Linked DNA regions of Lepisosteus oculatus. The protein of the gene in region 3 interacts with the protein of the main gene of each other region in a pairwise test. Links are inferred from orthologs where the notes say so. Each region holds a gene or a part of one and is shown on either strand. Other genes may lie near its edges.

What was found. The genes of interacting proteins can lie anywhere in the genome.
Region 1: the proteins of tsr2 (region 3) and rps26 interact in binary tests that used the Homo sapiens proteins (3 or more experiments, as listed by UniProt). The two-hybrid records come from large-scale screens. The link is inferred for Lepisosteus oculatus from reciprocal best matches to the Homo sapiens genes TSR2 and RPS26.
Region 2: the proteins of tsr2 (region 3) and pias2 interact in binary tests that used the Homo sapiens proteins (3 or more experiments, as listed by UniProt). The two-hybrid records come from large-scale screens. The link is inferred for Lepisosteus oculatus from reciprocal best matches to the Homo sapiens genes TSR2 and PIAS2.

The regions. Positions count from the first base shown.
Region 1 is NC_090696.1:21,768,695-21,776,772, forward strand, and holds the start of rps26 (40S ribosomal protein S26), read right to left. Parts: upstream 3,001-8,078; 5' UTR 2,986-3,000; coding exon 2,821-2,985; intron 1,682-2,820; coding exon 1,504-1,681; intron 1-1,503. Other genes in the region: ccdc65 (dynein regulatory complex subunit 2), read left to right, coding at 4,694-4,834, 5,727-5,894, 6,175-6,344, 6,782-6,920.
Region 2 is NC_090698.1:40,483,273-40,490,956, forward strand, and holds the start of pias2 (E3 SUMO-protein ligase PIAS2), read left to right. Parts: upstream 1-4,684; 5' UTR 4,685-5,007; coding exon 5,008-5,031; intron 5,032-5,704; exon of another isoform or gene 5,705-5,790; intron 5,791-6,605; coding exon 6,606-7,074; intron 7,075-7,684. UniProt on the Homo sapiens protein: Functions as an E3-type small ubiquitin-like modifier (SUMO) ligase, stabilizing the interaction between UBE2I and the substrate, and as a SUMO-tethering factor.
Region 3 is NC_090697.1:76,709,654-76,717,445, reverse strand, and holds the start of tsr2 (pre-rRNA-processing protein TSR2 homolog), read right to left. Parts: upstream 3,003-7,792; 5' UTR 2,644-3,002; coding exon of another isoform or gene 2,602-2,643; 5' UTR 2,114-2,601; coding exon 1,952-2,113; intron 1,332-1,951; coding exon 1,241-1,331; intron 392-1,240; coding exon 300-391; intron 24-299; coding exon 1-23. Other genes in the region: cdk16 (cyclin-dependent kinase 16), read right to left, coding at 7,548-7,785. UniProt on the Homo sapiens protein: May be involved in 20S pre-rRNA processing.

The DNA.
Region 1 (8,078 bases), on a different chromosome or scaffold from region 3:
CTAAGCGGGCAGAAGGCTGCCCCATTATTAGCATTAAGATTCAACAGTGCTATGTGTGTGTGCTGTGCCTACAGTAACACAGCCTTGCTCTACAGACCTCCTGCCTCAAGCATGTTTTATTTCAAATGGAGTCCGAGCACACCGGACCAAGACTTGCATAAAGCCAAACCTCCCCAATAATATGTGAAAAATCAGAGACCAGGAAACATTACTTTCCTCACTTTATCCTTAGATCAGTACAACCCCAAGGAAATCAAGAGTGTGAACTCAGGGAGTCTCTCCCCCACCGGAGTTTTTTGGATTAACTTCCGAGCAACCAGGCGACCAGCTTATTTTAGGGATCCAGGCACATCACTGCAGATCTCTTACAGTCAATTCTGAAAACCATCACCTGCCCCCAAGTGCCTCCTGCACTGCAGAGGACACCACTGGAAAAGGGTTAGCCTATTCTGGCCTCAGAGGAGCGAGCGCAGGCCAGGACACGGACCGTTTCAAGGCTCTACTGCCCCCTACTCCTCTGCAGCATGAGGAACGGGCCTCTTGTCAAACTCTTCAGGCAGACTACAGGGAGTCCTTCAAGGATCTGCTCGTCTGGATCAATAAGCTACTGACAAGCAAATGAGTGAGGCAGGCTGAATACTCTCCTGATTCTACATAACCCTTTTAGCTAAACAGACCAATAATGTGACGGTCTTTCCTGACCTTCACTGTATAACATGCTATCCTGGAGCTCTCAGCCCCTGCCAAGCGCACTCAGCCCTGTAGAGAGGCGCTGCAATCTTAACAGCAACTGAATTAAAAAGCACCCTCGTAGAAAAATCAGAGCACTGCACAAAGCCTAAAACCCATAAGACCTACAAGGAAAAAGCCACATTAATTTACTACTTCATGCAATTCAGGCCTTGGGGGGAGCCAGAGCCTGTCCCAGCAAGCAACAGGTGAAAGTCAGTGCACACCCTGGATGGGATGCCAGTGCATGACAGGGCAGACACACCCACTCACACCAGGAACAAGACAAATAATCTTCCAGCCTGTCTTTGGACTGCGGGAGGAAACCAGAGCACCTGGAAAAAACCCACACAAACCTGAGGAGAACATACAGACTCCACACAGATAGCAGTAAAAAGCCAAACTGAAACATCCAAGCTCCAACTTCAACATGTAGGATGAGGACACCCATCTCTGCTTACCTCACACTGATTGGACTGCAGAAACCTTATATACCACTCACAGAGCCCTGGAACCCTGCCACGCGAGCACGGCCCCTCGGACCCCTCCTGTTGACCCCTGATGCCATTCCAGCATTTTATCTGCTGTCGTCTTCCCAGGAAAAACTGTCCTCAGACACAATCAAATGCTACAGATTCCAAACCGGGCGACGGACCTGAAATGCCCGGAGTGTCTGGGAGGACTGAGCAGTCTGCCAAACGCCACGCCAGACCCAAACGGCCGACCGCGGCACTCCCAGCTCCCCCGCTGCCGGACCCCAGCCCAGGCACTCACAGTCGAAGACGCTGGCCTCGGAGATGTCCCTGACGGCCGCCGCCTCCACGATGTTCCGGATGACGAACTTCTTGATGGCCTTGTCCTTGGGCACGCAGCGGGCGCAGTTGGTGCAGCGGATGGGCTGGACGTGCCCACGGCCCTTCTTGGCACGGCCGTTGTTCCTTCGCTTCTTGGTCTGCCGGGGAAAGGAGAGGAGGCTCATCTCACTCGGGGCAGAGGAATGCTCCAATACTATACATTCCTATATAGTGCCTTTCAGTACAGAGCACTCTCTAGGGAACTTGACACTGATCACACAATAGTTCAAGCAGGTAGCTGTGCCAGCAGGCACAGGCTGCTAAGGAACAGGTACGGGTTTATTCTAGGCTGAAAATAGAAGAAAAACAACACGACACCCGGAGAAGGCTCCAGAGCTAAAACGTTTTTCTGTTCTTTTCACCATGGAATAAACCTCTACTTGCTCCTTTGCTAATTACGGAGAAATTAAAAAAACGGGTAAGGAATGAAAGCCCATGGAAAACGGAGGGTTTTCAAGTCTCGTCTTAAACATCAACAGAGTCTACACCTTCCTACAGGGGGCCTCACAGACCGACCGAGGACAGCTGGAGAAGGATCTCAGGCCCTGCCAGGCGACCTCCTCTGCAGTGCGCCCGAATCCACTACGCCGGCACTCCCACAGAGCGGCGGGCAAAGTGAATAGCTGAAACACTGAATAGCATTTCCACTTTGCGGCGGCTTAATGAACAAAGATCGCACTCACTAAGCCGAGGTCATATTCAACACCGCACAGACGGGCTAACGCTGGAAGTCGTAGTCAAGCGACTACAATCCGCCCAGATCGTCCTGCCCGGTTTTACACCGCAGCTTGACGCCCGGCTTCAAACCGAAGAGACGCAGACGGAATACCCTCTCGTTAAACTGCGACAAACTCATTATTCTCATTACTAGCCTATCCGTAAGACAAACCAGGCACTTCTCGATCACTTTCCGCTACATGGCAATTTTTAAATTCCCTCAGGTTCACAAAACGGGTCAACACACGTATCGCGCTCTTCGATGGTCAAAGAGAAGATATATTTTTTCTCCGCCTCTCTCCTACACGAGGCCCAGAAGCAATCCTCCACGCGTCTACCCTTCCTTCCGCGCTGACCGCAACGCATTTTGTGCCAGAACTTCTTCTCCCTCAAACTCGGCATCGGACGCCGTTTATACTTTCTACTTTTGCAAAAAGACGGGAAATACAAGAGTATTTTGTGATTTTTAACCATTTTTCACCCTACAGAGGGCCCAGACGCGCCGCTGTGCCTCACTCACCATCTTGAACAGGAGGCTAGAAAGAGGACCGGCTTCCGCAGCTCCGCCGAATTTATACTCCTCCTCCGCACGGACTATTCCTCCGTTTTTCGGGACCCCAAGAGCTCCAAATGTGTTTATTTTTTTCCGAAACGTGTGAAAAATAAGTCCCACATATATACACATGAGAGAACAGTATTATGGTTAATTATCAGTGATACATGTTTATGAAGGAGCGGACTGTTTTCTCTCGGAAGGATCCCAAGAGCGGACCTTTGAACGTGAGTGGTGTGTTCCTATCCCACAGTGCACCATGAACAGGTCCTCACCATAGATATCTAAATTTTTTGAGTATTGTTCGTTTTCTTTGAGAGCTCCCATAATAATAAAAAAAGTCCAGTAATGTTTTTCTTATCTTTTTCCTATCTTCAATGAACGAAAAATCACATTATGGACCATATACGGTACACTAATATGAAAGGATAGTTCAAGTAACACACACGAAGGCTCCACAGCTGTAACTTTGTTTCTTTTCTTTTCAGTATGGAATAAACCTTTACTTGTTCCTATTTAAGGATAGTTCTAATATGATGCTGTACAGTGTACAGAGGTGAACAACAGTAATATTCAGTAAACACATGTTTACACAGAACACAGAGCTCCAGAACAGTACAGTGGAATACAGCGCACCACAAGCGTGCGGTACAGGGGTCTGAAACAGTACAGTACAGTACAGTACGACAGGAGCGGGCGGTACAGGGGTCTGAGACACAGTACAGTACAGTACGACAGGAGCGGGCGGTACAGGGGTCTGAAACAGTACAGTATGGGAGTGAGAAACACATGACAATGAAATACAGTGCAGTAGCTCCCACCCAGGTGTGCTCTGAATCGGGGAGCTGTATGAATTCGTTTACCGAGTCGCGGTTCTTGGAGAAGCGGTTTTCCCTTATTCCCACGCATTCAGACAGGTGAGCGGATCTCAGGCTGCAGCTGTCCCGGCTCGCAGAGAACACAATCAGCTACAGCAACAACCCAAACCGTGCCTCGCTATCATTTATAAAAAACCTTATACATTGAGAACTACATAGAATGTGATAAGTTTAACTGAGTACAACAGAATCGAATTATTAACACGGGGACAATGTACCCACAAGCAGTTGACGATCTGTCAAAGTTTAAAAGTAACAATAAGACCGCGCACCCTAGATTAAAATGAACATTTCCCTTAATTTCAAAATAAAGAACTACTGACGGCAGAAATGTTTTTTAAAGTGCAGTGAAAACCGCTCATTTTTCAATCTCCCTCCCGCGTCTCCCTACTCTAGACCCGGACTGTGGTGTCGCTGCAGTACCACCTTCGCGCGTTAGGTGGCGCCACACAAATTGGGAACGCCAGACGTCGCGCAGGCCGTTGCTAGGAGACGAGTGTAAACTGAAGGCAGCGGACCGGTCAGTTCCCTGGGCTCGGCTCTCCGGACATTCAGGTAAAAACAGTCGCCTGCACATATTACGGCTACAGTACACACACCGTTCAGAACACTACTAAATACACCTGTCACAGACATCTTTTACTGCGGGCGTATTGCGCTGGTTATCGACCGTGCACCGACGGTAGGGTTTCATCTGTGGAAATGTTTGGCAAATAGATATGCAATTCTGTACCATGCGTCCTAGTTACAGAAACGAACCGAATGTAATAAATATCTTTTTTTATATCATTGTTCAATGGCTTCTTCAAACATACATGCGTGTACTTAAACATGCAGCGGCGACAGCTGCTCCAAGCGCTGGAGCTTGTAAAGCAGCGCAGTCATTTCTGGATCTCGGACGGGGAGCGAGGTGAGGCCCTGACCGGCCGGGCAGAGGGCAGAGGTGCCCGGTGAGCAGCGAGATGCCGAAGAAGGGCGGGAAGAAGGCCGGGAAGCTGGCAGCCATGAGCGAGGAGGAGCGTCTGCTGTTCCTGCAGCAGAAGGCCCTGGCGGAGGAGGAGCTCAGCAAGAGGAAGGAGGACATGCTGACCCAGTTCCTCAAGGTGGGGGTGTTAGCACTGTACCCCCCTAAGCCCAGCACAGAGCACAGCCCCGAGCTAACTACAGCACAGAGTACAGTCCCCCTGAACCCAGCACAGAGCACAGCCCCGAGCTAACTACAGCACAGAGCACAGCCCTGAGCTAACTACAGCACAGAGTACTGTCCCCCCTCAGCCCAGCACAGAGCACAGCCCCGAGCTAACTACAGCACAGAGTACAGTCCCCCTGAACCCAGCACAGAGCACAGCCCCGAGCTAACTACAGCACAGAGCACTGCCCCGAGCTAACTACAGCACAGAGTACAGTCCCCCTGAACCCAGCACAGAGCACAGGCCTGAGCTAACTACAGCACAGAGTACAGTCCCCCTGAACCCCGCACAGAGCACAGCCCCGAGCTAACTACAGCATAGAGCACAGTCACCCCTTAGCCCAACACAGAGCACAGCCTGAACGAACTACAGCACAGAGTACAGTCCCCCTGAGCACAGCACAGAGTACAGTCACTCCTTAGCTCAGCACAGAGCACAGCCTGAACTAACTACAGCACAGAGTACAGTCCCCCTGAGCACAGCACAGAGCACAACACTGAGCATAGCCCAAGGTAACTATAGCACTGAGCACAGCACAGAGCACAGTCCCCCTGAGCACAGCACAGAGCACAACACTGAGCACAGTCCCCTTGTCTCTCTTAATCTCTCTGTCCCCCTATCCCAGCTGATCCCTGTCCTTGTTCTCCTCAGTCTCTCTGTCTCCCTATCCCAGCTGATCCCTGTCCTTGTTCTCCTCTGTCTCTCTGTCCCCCTCTCCCAGCTGATCCCTGTGCGTGTTCTCCTCGGTCTCTCTGTCCCCCTCTCCCAGCTGATCCCTGTCCTTCTCTGTCCCCTCTGCCCCCAGGACAAGCTGCAGAAGGAGGAGCGCAGCACTGCAGTGAACCTGGCCAAGCTGACGGTCCAGTGGCGGGCAGTGCTGCGCCGGGCTCGGGCAGAGGAGCTGCGCCGGGACATTGCTGTGCTCAGCCAGACCTTCGAGAGGGTGCTGGACCGCAAGGACAGCGTCATCAAGGTGGGCTGTCCCGGGGCTCAGAGCCACTAGCATTGGGTCAGGTCGTACTTTCGACTGGGAGCTCAGGGAGTCATGGAGAGGGACTGTCTGCTCTGCTACTGACTCTCTGTGTGAACCCTCTCGTGCTCCATCTTTCGGATGAGACCTTTGAGCAAGGTCCTGCTGTCGGTGGTATCTGCAGCAGTATCCGAGCTGAGGCCAGTGTGACAGCTCTGAGGGGATCTGTGTGGACAGCAGTGTCAGCTCAGAGCCTGCTAACGAAAGCCGCTGTGCCCGGCAGTCCCTGGTGAGCGACCTGAACGAGGCAGAGGAGCAGTCCGCCAAGGCCCTGCGCTCCCAGCTGCGGTGTGTGGACCGGCTGCTGCTGCTGCAGCGGGGGCGGCTGCAGGCACTCGAGCAGCACTGGGACAGCGAGCTGGAGGCTCTGAGCGCGGAGTTCAACACCGAGAGGTAGCTCTCTCCTCTCTGTCTGCTTCTCCTTTCCCTCTCCTTCACCTCTCCTCTTGTCCCTCCTTCTCTGTCTTCCTTTACCTCTCCTTTTCTCCCTCTGTCCTCTTCCTATCTCCTTGTGTCTGTCTCCTTCTCTCAATTCCCTCCTTCTTCTCTCTCTGTCTCCTTATCTCTCCTCCCTGTCTCCTCCCTCTCTCTTTATCTCTCTACCCTTGCTGTCTCCTCTGTCGGCCTCCTCTCTGCTCCCTCGCTGTCTCCTCCGTCTGTCCCCTCCCTGTCTCCTCCCTCTGTCTCTTTATCCTCACTACCCTCTCTGTTTCATCCGTCTGCCTCCTCTCTCCTCCCTCGCTGTCTCCTCCACCTGTCTCCCTCTCTCTCAGCCCTCCCTGTCTCCTCCCTCAGTCAGCCCTGACCGCGTGTGGTGTGTGTATGAGCAGGGAGCTGATCATGGCCCAGCAGCAGCAGGAGTGCTCCTACCTGGAGGATGTGATGTTCTCCATGGAGCAGAACTTTGCCGAGCTGGACAGCGATGCGCGGCAGGACTATCAGAGCACGCGTGACGAGATCAAGAACAAGGTGACTGGCTGGGCTGTACTGGGTGTACTGGGATTGTGCAGTGGATACGGTGGCAGTGGGGCAGGAGCCAAGTCTCCTCAGCCCAGGCTGATTCTGCATCCTCCAGTATAAATCCTCTAGAGGGAAACCAGCTTCCTAAGCTGTTTATTTCTGTCTGTTTATTTCTTCAAACACTTGCAGCACGTGCCAAGTTTCAGGTTACAGAGCCAAATGAAACTAAAACCTAGCTGCGCCGAGCCATGCTTAGAATTTCTCCAGCTATACAACAGTCATTGGTGCCCTCTTTTCAAAATTTTTTAGGTCCTCATTAAAAAACTTTCACCTAAAGAAAGTATGTCCTGCCCCCTGATTGTTACCTTTATTAGTGGCAAGAACAGTAAAGCACTTCTTACAATCACTGTGGCTTCATACTGTTATTGAGTTCCATCATATTGCACTGCTTCTAATGAAGCTGACAGTGTTTTCAACATCCAGGGAAACACTCTGTAAACATGTGGCACAGAAAATATTCTCTTCTAGTTGCTTCTAGGTGACAATCAGATAGTTTTGGTGAATTCAAAATCAGAAGTCAAACAAAGTGCAGATACTGGGATTGTGCACTGAAATAAACTATATATGCCTCCCGTTCAGTTTGCCCATTGTCATCTCATTCTACTAATGGCCAAAGTGAGCCATGGTTTATTATCTCAAATGATCATACAAAAGCCCCAAGAGTGACAGACTTTGTGCATTTATAGCCTCAAAGGTATATGCAGCTCAGTACTAACTTCCAATATACACTCTGAAAGATGCAGTGCAGTATATGACGTGCACGTGTCCCCATATGGTATCTTAAGCTGTCAGTGGTATAATTCTTAGTGAAACTCTCTGAAGATGCTTTGTTGAACATAACATGTTTTGTTTTCTAATAAGATCACATGTACACCTAGAATGACCAAAACAGAAAAAAACATATATTGTACTTCTCTCATATCATCTCAACACATACAAATTTCTTGATTGTAAGAAATAACCATCATTGCCATCTTGGTGCTCTTTGGGCATGTATATTTCAGCTACAACCCTGCACTGTGGGTGGAATTCAGTAGACAAAAACAATTGACTCTAGTTATGTGCTGGAAAAATCATACTAACTTTGGTCACTGTTACATATTTAGG
Region 2 (7,684 bases), on a different chromosome or scaffold from region 3:
GAAGTAATTTATTATTTAAGCGTGATAGTGGTTTTTGTTATGTAAAATAAAACAGTAAAAAAAACACAATTTAGTTTCTTTTAACTTTTTAACCTGGTGACATTCAAAAGTACAAAAATAGAAAATGATCAGATAACTTAATGTTGTATCAACATTAAGTCATCTGACCATTTTCTTTTTTTTTTACAATTTTAATCGGTTTTAAAATACGTTGAGTTTAACTTTCCTCTAGTTACCACACAGTGACAAAAGACTAATTCCAGCACCACTGCCAGTACAACACAATCTGTTTCTATCACAAATGCTCAAACTAAAGGCATGGCTGTCATGTTACGTGTTTGCATTGAAAAGCAGCAGCAGTACAATCGCTGTACTGACCGACTTGAAATTCGGCAGGTTTCTTGTCATTCATGAATACATCCCATCATATTCATTTTCAATCAAAATCCAACCAAAATATCTTATATTTTCACTACATTTCAGATATTGTATTATATAAGATCTGTATCTTGACCTGAATGAAAATAACGGTACTGAGTCTATGGCTGCTACTGTATGGCTCTCAAATCCGATTTTATGAAAAAAGATTTGTAAATCTCTTCTTCACGTGTATAGCAAATTGTACAGCTGTACAGCTGTGTGCATAGTCCTCCCGTGACCACAGTTATGGCTGTCATGTTGCATTATTTACTAGGAACATTTTCGTCAGGGACCCTTTTAGCAGATTAACAGGAAATTGAATTGTATATGCTTACATTGTACTGCCCCTAACAATGTAATTAAACATCAGGTTCTACATGAATACCTACACTAACCACCATGAGACATTCAATTTGTGGATTTTCTGCTAAAAAAGTGATTCCTATTCTCAGTGCTAAAAACACTTCCCTGTAACTTTCATTTCTGTCCTCTGTTGTGAGGTCCACTGTTGATTCTGAACAAATCCTTGAGACACTTAGTTGTTTTTGTTTCTCCAAGCATTGCTGCCACGTTCATCTCCCATCAGCTCCATTGGTTTATTTATGTTGTCTCTTAGCTTAATCATGACAATACATCAAGTGTATAAATCATAACATTATCAATTCTTTGGAGATTATGGCTTTTTAAAAACCCAGAAGGAGGAAGAATATTTGGAATGAAGCCTAGCACTTTAAGAAACAAAGGTGTCAAACTGAGGAAGCAAGGCAAGAGTATCAAGGGGAGCTTACCATGATCATATTGCACACTATAAATCAGGATGCCTCCTGAGACAAGTTGTTACCTGCTCAAGTTGTCAGAGTGTGTGGTTCCCTGATTGGCTTTGTCAGTCCCCTTCGGATTCATGGAAGAAACTCATTCTCGTGAGATGGCAAGTGAGTAACAATGTGGTGTACAGTATATGCAGAATTTGTGTTTTTGTGAAATATTAGCATTTGTACTGTACATAGTTCTATATAACTACAGTACATTATCCTTTTTTGGTACAACAATGCTGTTCTTTCTTCTTCAGGTGCTTGGTATTAAAAAGTTGAAGAAAAGATTAATTTCCCACTTCAAAGTAAAAAGAAAATAAAACTCACTTGAAGAAGGTTCCCTTGCTGTAATGGTGTGTTGTTGATTCTCTCTTCTCATTGTAGAATTTGTGAATAGTCCATCACTTGCACAAATATTGCACTGGTAAGATTAGTTCATTTTTCAGGGATGGCATAAATGTTATGTAATTCCAATTTTAAGATTTTTCTTAATTAATCCGACATTCGTTTTTTTGGTTACTGCTTAAAGAACCACTGCACGCTAGGTGTGGTCCATAAAAGGCTACAAACTGGTTATGACGATATTTTTATTTAGTTTGCCCAGAGCACCCAGTTCACTCCATTAATATTAATTTGTACTTCTAAAATAATCATGCAGTATAATTATTGTAATGCAATGCTTTATTACTTTAATAAGGTATTTTAATAAAAGACTGGAGCTGTTATCAAGCAGTTACCTGTTACCAGCATTCTTAGCATACTGTAACATGCAAATTATCTTAGATTAGACTTCAGTTATTCCATGATCAATAGTTCTAACAGAGAACAGAAGACAACAACAAAGATTATTTTACTGAGAGCTACAATTTAGACACATTTGCTAATTAGACTCAGCGGTGATATATCCTTATTAACGTAAATCAATTCAAGTGAAGAAAGGTGCAATCTGCATCTTGATTGTTTCAGTTCCTAACAGAAATTGCAGTTTACCTTGCATATTTTATTTGATTCTCATTATTTCTGATTTTCCTTCAAATGGAAAAGCTTCCTGGGTTTTGCTGACTGCAACAGTGTGTCTGTAGAAGTAAATAGTTGATATTTGTGCAGGACGGCATGCTAAATCATTCAAATGACTCTAAATAGGCCATTTTGGATACCGAATTACTGAATGCGTGCACCCTGGAATTAATTAATGGGATGAAGGGAAAACATATGCTGTAGATGCATTTCAAGCACTTAAAATCAGTCAGTAACCTTAGCCAATTAATGCAGAGACGCTTTTGAAAAGATCATTTAAAAGCATAAATTTTCTTCAGTTCTTATTCTGTGTATAGGCAACATCATGCTTATGGTTAAGGTATTCAATACTACCTTGGGGCAGTTTTTCCTCGTAGAACTAATACTGGCTATGGAACAACACAGAAATAGAAACAAATGTGCCTGATGGGTTTAACGGCCATCGAGCTCTTGTATGACCTTTCTAATGTTCTCATCCTTCTGAATGGAAACATCCCCTTTTTCTTCAGGAGAGTTTTGATTCCAGCTTTTTTTCACTGCGTTTTGCACATGTATGTCTATATCTCATAGAGTTTCAGTAATCTTGGAATACTTTTTGCTCATGGTGTGGATTTGACACCTGTGGTATAATGACACTAATATAGCCTTATTGAAGTGAACCACGTGGATTTCAAGTGCCCAGCAGAGTCTCGTTATTTTTCTCTGTCCAGTGTTGTACAGCTCTGGACTAGTTCTTCTGGAATATGTGGTCAATAATTTAGGAAAGTTCCATCATACTGTATAAATCAGAAGCTAAAGTAGTGACAAATAAATATGTTAAAGTATGTTGATGAATGGTGACTCGGTGGTGCAGATGTTGGCTTTGCTGCATTGTAGTGCTGGGGCCCTGAGTTATTGTACATGTGGTGCTATCTGTGTGGAGTTTGTATGTTCTCTTCAGCTTCATGGGGGTTTCCTCTGGGTGCTCCCCAGTGTGTCTGAAAGTGTGTGTGCAATGGACTGGCATCTCATTCAATGTTTACCTTGCCTTTCGCCTGTCAAACGCTGGCTCTGGTTCCCCGGCTACCCTGAATTGGATGAAGTGGTTGGAAAATGGATGGATTGATGGTGATGAATGTGATTTTCATCACCGTCTGATCAAATAGAAAATGCAAAATACAAACAAAACCCCATAATTATTCTATTGTTTGGCTTTGTAAATTAAATGCAGGAATTTACAGTACTGTATGTCAAGTGTATATTTTGTTTTTTTGTGCTTTGTTTTCTAAATAGCAGAACCACCAGAGCTTTGGAATATTCTATTAAGTCATTGTAGTGCACTTCTTCAGAAAGAACACTGAAACATGAACTAAACAACACAAGTGGAAACAACATGGAACAACATTGATCATTTAAAAATAATTCCAGTTATGATGTCTGTGAATTAAAAATGTGGGTGTTTACACTATGCCAATAGGTTATTTGCTGATCATTAAAATGACTCTGATTCCTTCTATTTTTTTAACAAGAAAAAGTTCTGCATGTTTTGTTGTAGCATATCCAGTTATGAGGTGATGCTCCCATCTTGTGGCAATAGGATGCACAGCAACATCTAGTTTCAGTGATGATTTCCAAAGCCTTTGTATTTGGTATCACTTTCGTATTCATTCTGGTATAGTTCTTTTGCCATAAGATAGTATATATTAGTAACGATTCTGAGCTGACTGTAGTGTGATTTTGTTTTGTAAAATGCTTAACAGAACAGAAGGAATTCATTAAGAAGTCGGTTGTGTTACAGTTTTCCGTTTAAAAAGTTTTTCAGATCTTTTTTTTTATCTGGAATGAATATAGAAAATCTTTCTTTTTGCAAGTTGGGGCTGCAGTACAGAACATTACTTATGTCAAATTCACTTTATATTGCATCTCAAATCATTATCTGCAATTTTGAGAGTGTGATTTAAAATTTGTCAAGCATTCCGCCTCTTACATTACTTGACAGATTTCAAATATTCACATATTTCATATTATTTTGATGTTTTACCATGTTGTTAGCATTTTAAATAAAGTACCTTCAAATTATTGTATAAAGATTCACATTGTTTAAATTTCTGCCAACATTTCAGTACCAATTGCCATGTAAATTATTTAAGTATTTGAAATCACTATTTTTCTTGTTTTGTTTTACAAATTGATCTTGGGCCCCATGAGGTAATCAAACAGCCATGGGTAGACCTCTTAAAGTAATCTTCTTAATTTCTTAAAGCTTCATTTGCAGGATTTTATTAATACAAATATGGGTCATTTAGAGTGATTGAATGACTTCTCATTCTGTCTTAAATGTACCAAGCCTTAATTTCCACAAGGGCTCCTCTGATTGGTGGGAGAGGGAGTACGTGGAACAGTAGGCAGTTGCTTACACAAAGAGAGAGGATTAACAAAGAAAAGAAAGAAAAGAAAATCTAGTTTTGTAGAGGATGCTGATTCAAATATCCTTCCAAAAGCCTTCTAAATGAAGCAGTGGCACTGCAAGCTACCAAAACTCTGATAATTATAATTTGCAAGACTGGCAACTTTAATGTTTTTTTGTATCTCTGCAGTTTACGATCAGAAATGGACACTTCTGCCTTCAATGTGACCAGTTCCAGTAAAGCCTTTTAGATAACATGCAATAGGCCCACGCTTTGTCCTTTCTTATGTTGCGCTTCCCAGTTCTTTCAAGGGCTCACCCTAGTCACGTGGGTGGTACCCTGGAGCGGTGCAGGATGGTCGCGGAAAGAAAATGGCGGATTTTGAGGAGCTGAGGGTAGGAGAAAGTATTAAATTAATTTCGTGTTACATAGAAAGAGCACTGAGCATCGTCGTAAAGCATTGGAATGATTGGGTATATCTGTTATGGAATCGTTACATTAGAACTGATATTTTAATTGGAGTTTACTAAGTGGAGACGTTAATGTCTGCCTCTTGTGTTTTGGTCGGAGGTTACGGTTTATTTGGTGTCTCGTAAAATAATTATATTATTAGGCCTGTTGAGTGTAACTTTTGAATTCTAATAGATGTGTCTTTAAGTACACATTTTCTGCTATTTGATTCATCATTGTTGTCGTAGATGTGTTTTTAGGTTTTATGAACGGTATTTTTTCCGCCAAAACATCTGGTCTAGACTGTTGTGTTGTACATATTTACAGCTTGTGCCAATTCTCGAAACCATGTAAGTAGCCTCTTCATCCGTATAGCAGATGCATTTCTACCGATTTCGAGATCAACCGTTTTGTCACCAGAACCGTGCAATCTGTTGTGAACTCCGTGCTTCTGATTATGGTGCCCTTTATCTCTTTATTATTCCAACTTTTAACTGTTGCTTAATCTCTGTTGCAGTGTGTTTGCGACAAGGACTGCTTACAGTACGTGTGTTGTCTGCCTTGTTTTTTTTCTTTTCCCGTTTTTAATGGGTTTTGGAATTATTCTTAACATTTTAGATGCTATACGATCACATTTGTTAAGGAAATGTAAAGAAAAAGGATTAACAAGTAAGAACAATCAAGCATGGACCATATAATGAAGGGTCAGTCGGGGTTTTCTTACTTTTTTTCTGTGGGTTTTTCAGATGGGATTTCTTGGGAGGGACGTGGTCATCAAACCACAGTTAAGGGGGAGAATTGTCAAATTGATGATGGATATTATAGATGTGTATGGGTGGAGTATAAACTACATGCCGCTCAGCGAGCAATGCAGAGCCGGTGGAACTCTACTGCTCCAGAGGTGACAGTCGTTTTCCCCCCGCCGTGCTAATAGACAAAGTACCGTTCACTCTCCTGAATGCACTCAAAATCCTGTACAGAAACCACACCTGGCTGCTTTCTAACGTCTACAGTGTGCCTTTGATGTACTTCATTTTATAAAGAATTCAAATCCGTTATTGGAGGAAATGTAAGCCTCATTCTTACATTCATACATAAGATGGCACTGAAGCATCCCTGGACTGACACAGTAAAAATAATTTAGTTGTTTGAGTATTTAATAGGAATAATTGGAGCTTCATAAGGTGCTGTCGCCGTAGAAAGTGTTTTGTACTTGTTTGTCACTTTACCCGCACATTGCTATAGTGGTGAACACTTCTAGTTCTTGAGCTCTTCAGGAGGTGGTTTAATCTCAATTAGTTCTTTGTGATGTTTTTCTTGCCTTTCTGCTTGTGATGTAAAATGATGATAAAGGAGCCCTGTAGCACAAGAGCTATGATTATTCAACACTTGTAGAGATGGTAGATTATCCTTTTATTATGGTGTCAATAGTATAATTTGCCCAGTGTTCTGCCTTGCTGAAGTTGTGCTGAACCAAATAAACACCCGTCAAATGTTTATATTTTTTGTATTTTTTCAGAATATGGTTTCAAGTTTTCGGGTCTCAGAGCTACAGGTTTTATTGGGCTTTGCAGGACGTAACAAGAGCGGTCGCAAGCATGAACTCCTTCTGAGAGCCTTGCACTTGCTAAAGAGTGGGTGCAGTCCAGCTGTTCAGATCAAAATTAAGGAACTGTATAGACGACGTTACCCCAGAACAATCGAAAGTCTCCCCGACTTGTCTGCCCTCAAGCCCTCCGGCTTCTCCCTGAATAGTAACTCTTCCCTCGTGGACCCGGACTTGGCCGGAGCCGGTGTGCATTCTCGCGCGCCTGGCTCGATCCCGCCGCACTCCGCAGCGCAGAGTCCTGTCCTGCTGCACGAGACGAAGCCCGGGATCGACATGCAGCAGCCGGCACCTCCCATCCCGCCTGTCCATCCTGACGTCCAGCTGAAAAGTTTGCCATTTTACGATGTGCTGGATGTCCTGATCAAACCCTCAAGCTTGGGTAAGCATCTGTCTCTTCTTTGCTCTGCACTGTGCATGCAAAATACTTTATTAGAAATTGCCCACTGTAATTGTAAATATAATAGAGTGCTGCTTTTAAGCAAGTAATCAATCAGTGATATTTCTTATATTTAGCTGTTTTTCTTTGCAACGCTAATTCAGATAATGACGTTCTAGAGTAAATTGTGAACAATTAGGCACTTTTGCTGGTTGTGGACTATAGGACATAAAGGAGCGTTATAATTTTATTATCTCCCTTATCTTATTTTTGAACAATCATCATACTGAATTTTGAGGGGTCTAATCAAATTTGCAAAATGAGTGAAAGCATTTCACCACGCAGTGTCTGCACTAGCAAATCTTTCCATAAGAACAATTTCTGCAAATGCAACCAGTGGCAATTTTAAGAATGTGACAGTCTCAACCCAACCTCGTGACACACGTTTTATGGCTGCACTTAGAAAAGATATTGCCTGATTATAGCTTTGGAATCATCATTGGGAAGGAGCAGTTGGCTTAATCTGTGGTGTAGGTTTGCACAACGTATGTATTTGTGCATTTTGCTATAAGAATAGAAAGAAGGCCAGCATGGAGAATGACCAGTCCCAAGA
Region 3 (7,792 bases):
AGCTCACGCAGTTCTAGCGCCACCTATTGGACATACAGAAGAAAACAATGAGACCCTTAAGGTGACTTAAGATCTGGACAGCCTGATTTCTACAGGTCTCTCTCAATCATCCCTTACCGTTTTCACATCCACTCCAAGAGGACACAGACCCCAGAATGGAAAGTAATAGAATTTATAATTAGCAAACCTATTAATGGGTAAAAGCAATGGGTGAAATGGCAGAGCAAGGAACTGTGGGTTGCTGTTCAGCCCTGCATACTCTGTGCAGCAGCTGGTCTTATGTACAGGAGTGCGTATACCTGTGGCAGACTGCCATCCTCCACCACAGTGTCAAACTCATTGTTCATCAGCTCTGCCAGGAAGTCCTCAACCTCATCCTGCTCCAGGTCAGCTGCACAACACAGAGAACACAGCACACAGTCAGAGGAGAGGCGCTGGACGCAGAGCACACAGTCAGAGGAGAGGCGCTGGACACAGAGCACACAGTCAGAGGAGAAGCGCTGGACACGCACAGAGCACACAGTCAGAGGAGAGGTGCTGGACACGCACAGAGCACACAGTCAGAGGAGAGGCGCTGGACACGCACAGAGCACACAGTCAGAGGAGAGGCACTGGACACAGAGCACACAGTCAGAGGAGAAGCGCTGGACACAGAGCACACGGTCAGAGGAGAAGCGCTGGACACGCACAGAGCACACGGTCAGAGGAGAGGCGCTGGACACGCACAGAGCACACAGTCAGAGGAGAGGCGCTGGACACGCACAGAGCACACAGTCAGAGGAGAGGCGTTGGACACAGAGCACACAGTCAGAGGAGAAGCGCTAGACACGCACAGAGCACACAGTCAGAAGAGAGGTGCTGGACACGCACAGAGCACACAGTCAGAGGAGAGGCACTGGACACGCACAGAGGACACAGTCAGAGGAGAGGCGCTGGACACAGAGCACACAGTCAGAGGAGAGGCGCTGGACACGCACAGAGCACACAGTCAGAGGAGAGGCGCTGGACATGCACAGAGCACACAGTCAGAGGAGAGGCGCTGGACACAGAGCACACAGTCAGAGGAGAGGCGCTGGACACGCACAGAGCACACAGTCAGAGGAGAAGCGCTGGACACGCACAGAGCACACAGTCAGAGGAGAGGCGCTGGACACAGAGCACACAGTCAGAGGAGAAGCGCTGGACAGAGAGCACACAGTCAGAGGAGAAGCGCTGGTCACACAAAATAAAAACCACTCACTGTTGTCATGGAAATACTGCTGCACAGCGTCCACCATCCAATCAGCTTTCTGTCGGCTGTGTGCACCCCCAAATCCATTGTCAACCGCAATCTTAGACAAAGCAGAAGTAAACAGTCGTGACAGAAAGGGGGCTGCAGCAGTATATTAAAATAAATACTGTAGCCCCATCGCCTGGGGGCGGGACTACGGGACTGTTTATAGTGGGACGGGGGCTGGGAGACCGCTCTTCCCTTCACGTAGGTGCAGCGCTGTAACCCCTGTCCCTGTGTGTTTACCGTTCCCCGGCTCTGGTTATTAAATGTGTTGTTCAACCCCATTCCCTGAGTCATACGCCTGCTCCATTCCGTACCGAAGCCCGCGGTCTTTACAATACTTTTAAACTCAGGACTGCTTTTTAAACAGGTTGTGTTACAGTAGACTACAGTAAAAAGACGGTTAAAACATTTTTATAATAGAAAGTTACAGTAAATCAACAGCCAAATTCAATGAAATTTAAATATAATAAAGATTTATACTACAATTCACTGCTGTGTTACAGAATTTCATAGCAAATCGACCCTATTTGTGGTATCGACCGGCCAGACCGTGTTAACTCAAACACGATCATGTGTGAGTGCATTTGTCCTGACACCCCCGTTAATTAAGACTCAAAATACACCTATAGAAACGAGAAAAACTGGTTTTAAGACTGAAAGAAAAACTGTTCTCACTTGCAGCACCGGCCACGTCTCCAAAACAGCACGAACCCCCTCGGCAAAAACTTCATGTGCGGACAGAACGGGCGCAGCCATCTTGAAAACACAGGCATTAGAAGTCGATCGCTTGCATCCGCTTTGCGGCGTTGTAGGAAAACCACTCGATAGAGAAAGCATCGATCGAAAAGGAGACGTGCGTACGTAATTTTAATTTAAACATTAAATAAAAATGTTCTGTTGCTTTCCGCTCTTCTCTTCGCCAATATTCGACAAAGCTTCCGTTTAGGTAAAGACTGAGTACCTTACCAATATAATCAAAAAGGCTGAGGAAAAATCACTAGAATGAAATTTATCCTTCAGACTAACAACCCGATTTCATAGAAATATTAAATATTTAAAACCTGGGATCTTCATTCTCGCGGTTTTCATATGCTCCTTGACCCATAACCAAACAAAAAATAAAACAAGCTTTTATAAGACTTTGTTTTCATGCTATTTCTTTTTAAAGAATTCAGTAGACCCCTGGAAGATGAAGACAACACTACAGTTTGCCCTCCTTGGTACATATGCCTGAGCAGCCGAGAGATCAACCAGTGCTCACAGCACTGAAACACGCCAAGATCCCCACACTGCAACACCCACACTCAAGTCATGTATAGAGACACCTTCTGCACACCCGCTCCTTGACCATTTTCTCCAGAACACATGTGGCGTGGTTGGTGTACCAGTAGGAGGCAGAAGTATAGAATCCAGAGTCCAGATGTGTCCAAACGTTCTGAAAATGTCTCTCAATCAGCCCTCACTGTTCTCACATCCACTGCACCCTGCAACATTCTGAGACCTCAGAAATAAAGTTGGAGAGTTTAGCAAGCTTATTTATAGGTAAAAGAAAAAATACCTCCTGGACAGGACATCTACACTAGTGTCCACTAATGGTGTTGCTTTAGTACTGCTGTCTGAAAAGACCTTGTAAACCTGTAAACACAGTGTCCAGCCCTCCAGGGCCAGGACTGGACAACCCTTGGTGCAGACACACTGACCATCCCTCCAGGACCAGGACTGGACAGCCCTTGGTGCAGACACACTGACCATCCCTCCAGGACCAGGACTGGACAGCCCTGCTGCAGACATACTGACCAGCCAAAAACAAAAGTTGCACAGATCCAGCTTCACTCCTTCAAAGTTTTTAATAGCTCTTACAATGTACATTAGACATGTAGATTATTTTTTACAGATTGCATACTATGAACATTTCTAAAACATTTAATTAAAAAATGTCCAAAGAAAAAACAAACAAACAAACAGATAAGCAACAAATGCATCATTGTCAAATTGAATAAAAAAATTACAATAACTTACAAATTCATTGCTTGTAACCAGCTTGTGTGGGGTGGTAATGGAAGCTGAAATGTGGGGTGCATGATGTGTTTGGTTTGCACACCTACATCATTCACAGAGCATTACAGCTCTATTGCTTTGTACAAAATCCTACAGCGAAGGTGGTTAAGTGGACATTCTGACTGCCCCATGTACAGTAGGATTCCTTACTGCAGTATCCTTCTGTTCATAGTCATACGTGCTACATTGAATGATATTCAGGTGACCTTCGACCTCCTGAAACACATGGCCCGTGCTCTAAGGTAATGGTGATGTCAGAAGGGATGTATGACCATGAGTGACAGCTGGAACAGTGCGTCTTACTGGATTGAACAGGAAATTCTGAATTGTCCTTAGCGCCTTAAGGAAACTATTCACTCAGATGCAGCTAAACAGCAGGAAGTACCACGGCAGCGATGGACATCTTTCAGAACCACAGCCTGACTCAATCGGACAGGGAGGGAACCCCCCTCCAAACGTACCAGGAGTACAGTAGACCAGTACAGCTGTGGAGCTTATACTGACGATCTATACTGCGTGTGCACCGAAAAACAGATTTCAGAGCTTTTTAGCTTGCTTACAGTACATCTTTGCTGAACTACTCCTAAGCTCCAAATCAAACTCCCAGCTTCAGTTTTCCAAAACTGCTTCAACTGTAAAAAAAAAGAAGGAAGAAATGTCTTTTTTCACACCTTTGGCTTTTCTTGGTTGATGTTGCACCCCTTAAAACACACATGACGACTTTCAGGATGCAGGGGAAGCGTGTATTGCTTTTGAGAAGACAAGGTCACCTTGCAAGTATTTGCTCAAAATGCAAACAGGGTCAAGACAACACAAAACACCTTGCAGAACGGCTACAGGTGCAACAACAGTTTTGGGGAATAGCTAAGAATTGTTCACCGCTCAGCCAAGAGCTTTTGGGGTATTCAGACTGCTCAGTGAACTGAAGCATGTTCAGCATGCCCTGACAGGTCCCCCTAGTACATACTGAGCAGTGTTGTCTGGCCCAGTGGTCCCCAACCCTTTGGGGTACAGGGGAAAGTTATTCACCCCCCGATTACTGTGGGAATAACTGGCCTTGGAAAAACAAAATCCTAGAGTCATGCCATCACAGACATATGCAAGGCTGTTACAGCACCCTCAACAGCGACACCAAGTGGCCAGGACGAGAAACTGCAGTATCGCCCATCTGAATCCATTACTGGCTGAACAGAGTCACACTCATCACAGCATCTTGTGGTTTTACTGTAGTAAAAACACAGTAAAATGTAGTACAGAGCAAATCAGACCACTAAAAAGCAAATACAGGTGGCCAGCATGAAGGACCAGGCCCAGGCAGAAATACTGTGAAAAGTTCCCCATATTCAGCTCCTACAGGAGACACCACTGGGAGGGGCAGAAGTGCTAGGGCCAGGGCCACACACACTCAACACCGTGGAACAGATCTGGTGCGGAGAGGACAGCGAGGACCGCAACGATCTGGGCCTGCAGCTCTGGCTGTGCTGCGTCTCCGGCCTCAGTGACGAGATGTGGAAATATCCCGCCGGACAGGAGAAGCACATGATCCCCTGCTGCCGACACAATTACATCTTCGGCCTACGCAGCAGCAGCACAAGAAGATTGGGACACTTCACAATAGACTTCAGAGTTTCCCGGTGTCATCTTCTTTTTGTAAACAGAAGTGGACACAGGTGCTGACCCAGCCAGGACAGTGACCTGATTCTAACTCTACAAACCCATCACAGCTCAGGATTGTCTGCATTTAAAGAGAGAGGAAAAAACAAACAAACAGGCACACATCACACATCTGGGGGCTGTAGGAGTTTGGAACAAGCCGTCCAGCCATGTTGCTGAACCTGATAACCTGGCTTCTTCCAGGAAACAACTAGATGAGATCTGCTAATCAGGACAGCATTTACACAAAGAGTTGTCTCATGTTCTCATGTCCAAGACACCTGCGTGTGAAAAGCCGTCCCTCAGGAAGAAAGAGAAGCCACTCAGTCCTTTGCTCAGCAGTGCTGAGGCTGCACATCCCTCACCCCTCCCTCTTTCGGGAAGACGTACAGTGCAACCTGCCTGCCTTCGCTCTTCCAAGCTGTGTCCTTGGTCACTCTGCTGCCCCCCTCTTCCTCAATCTTTTCAACAACCTGCCCCCCCCCCATCGGTGATTTTTAAACTACCTGTAGGTCCGGCTGGTATGAAAAAGGGAATCGGAGAAAAACAATCGAAACGATGATTGCAGGAGTCACACTAATGGTGGATAAGGAAGTCATGCGGGCTCGAAAGAGTCACAGTATGAGCAATTCTCTTTAGGGCTTCTACCAGCAGGGCTGACTGTGGGAGTATCTGCACCCTGCAGGGCCAGAGGGAGAGGTCCAGTCTGTCTGTCCCCACCTGCGCTCACCAGTGTCCACGTTTACTTGTACCCCTGCCGAACCTCTCACCACAGGATAAGCCAGGAATTCCACCCGGACACAGAGAGGGGTTAAAAGTCAACCGAAAGGGCTACAGCACGTCAGCATCTGCCTTCTCCTGTGCTGCAGCCATCAGCACACAATACCACACAGGTCAATACTCGGATACAACAGCACAACACAGGGGCCACTGGCAGGCAAGGTCAGGAGCAACTGCAGCTCGTGATACAGTGTTTGTAGTGTCTCATCTCCCTGATTGATCTCCCCATTTCTACACTCGGACACGCGATGAAAACTAAACGAGAACGAGTCTGCAAACTCTGGATGAAAAAAAGATCAGTTTCACAGACACATTACTTTGGCCATTGACGGTTATATTGCTTCAAAGAAGGCAGACGGGGAACTCCACAGTCTGGCCCAAATACAACAGGCATGACGTGACGATGGAGCAGACCATCTGAGCTACTGCTGAGCCCTGTCCACTACAGGCCCGCCTGAGGCAGAGCCCAGAGCCGGACACAGCCCGTCTTCCACACACTGAACAAGCAATGCAAGGGCTAACATACAGCAGGAAACACCACTGACTATCCTGAACGTCTGTGCCCTGGGGAGGCCTTGAGTGCCAAACGAATCCTGACAAGTGCAGGTCAGCTCCATTCCCTGCTTACTGGTGCTGCATACACCCCCTCACCTCAGAGACGCTCATTTTAAAAGGGCAGGGCTCCAGTAGTGTGGCTTGACTGGAGTTTCAATGATACACCGAGATGGTCTGGGGTGTGTAAAGAGGCAGGGGAGCCCCAATGTGCACTGAGAGAAAGACAAACCCCCTCCCTCAATTCTCCCTAAGGCTAAGCCCCTCCAGACACCCCCATAATCACAGAGCAGCCCCCCCAGAGCTCAGTACCATCCTTTAAAACATCAAACAGAAATGCCATCATCACTGCCAAGAGAGAAACAAAAATCCTGTTGCAATGGCATCAAATTAACTTTTTTTTTTCTTTAAAACATACAACCAGACATGAAAGTACAACACTCCTCATCAGAAGTCTTCTAATGAGAAGAACATAAAAAATTATATTCTCGGATCTTCACATCATGTTGTTGGGAGTCTCCCACTGTTTCCGCTGTGGATAAGATCAGGGGCACTGTGTCCCAGGTGGACCCTGCACGCCTCCCCTCAGAGGTGCCCCCACAGTCATGAAGGTGCAACACCCAGGACTGTGTCAAAACCCCACTGGCATCTGTTCCCTGCAGTTCACCACTAGTGCATGACCCTGGCACCCCACTGGACTGAGCCCCACAGTGATGGGGTTCCACACCACGTCAGACACATGACGGCTACTGTCTGCTTCACAAGCTGCTGGGGGGGCCCCACATCTTTACACTTATATAGTGCCTTTCTGGACACTCCACTCAAAGCGCTTTACAGGTAATGAGGAATCCTACTACCGCCACCAATGTGCAGCCCCCAAATGGAGAATCTGCCAGTGGGCTCCCCACACACCAGCTCTCAGAGGGGGGGGGAGAACAGAGTGATGAAGCCAGTTCAGAGATGGGGGTTATTAGGAGGCCATGGTTGGCAAAGGCCAATGGGAAATTTGGCCAGGACACTGGGATTACACCCCTGCTCCTTTCCAAAATCCCTGGGAGAAGGTGCTCAGGGAGGAGAGTCAGGTCAAATTGGAGAGACAGCCCCAGTCTTTCTGCAGGAGACACAGGGGGAGTATAGGAAGACAGGAGAGAGTGAGGAAAGAAGTGAGCATTTAGAGGGAGAGTGGCGCCTGTCCCCCAAACTCCCCTTCACATCTCTCAACCTCACCTCAAAGGACACATGGGATGAGCCAACTGCCCCCACCGAAACCACCCCACATGTCAGTCTGGGCACCCCCAAAAAGCACCACAACGCTTCTTGAAAAAAAAAAAACAATGAAAGTATCCGATGTGAATGTGATGTATCCCCAGAAGACGAACAGGGCGTCTCTCCCTGGTTCTCCCCTTGTCTTCACGGTTCTCCCCCGTCTCAGTAGAGCAGGCTCTGTCTTCGGGGCTTGCCGTCCACTGCAAA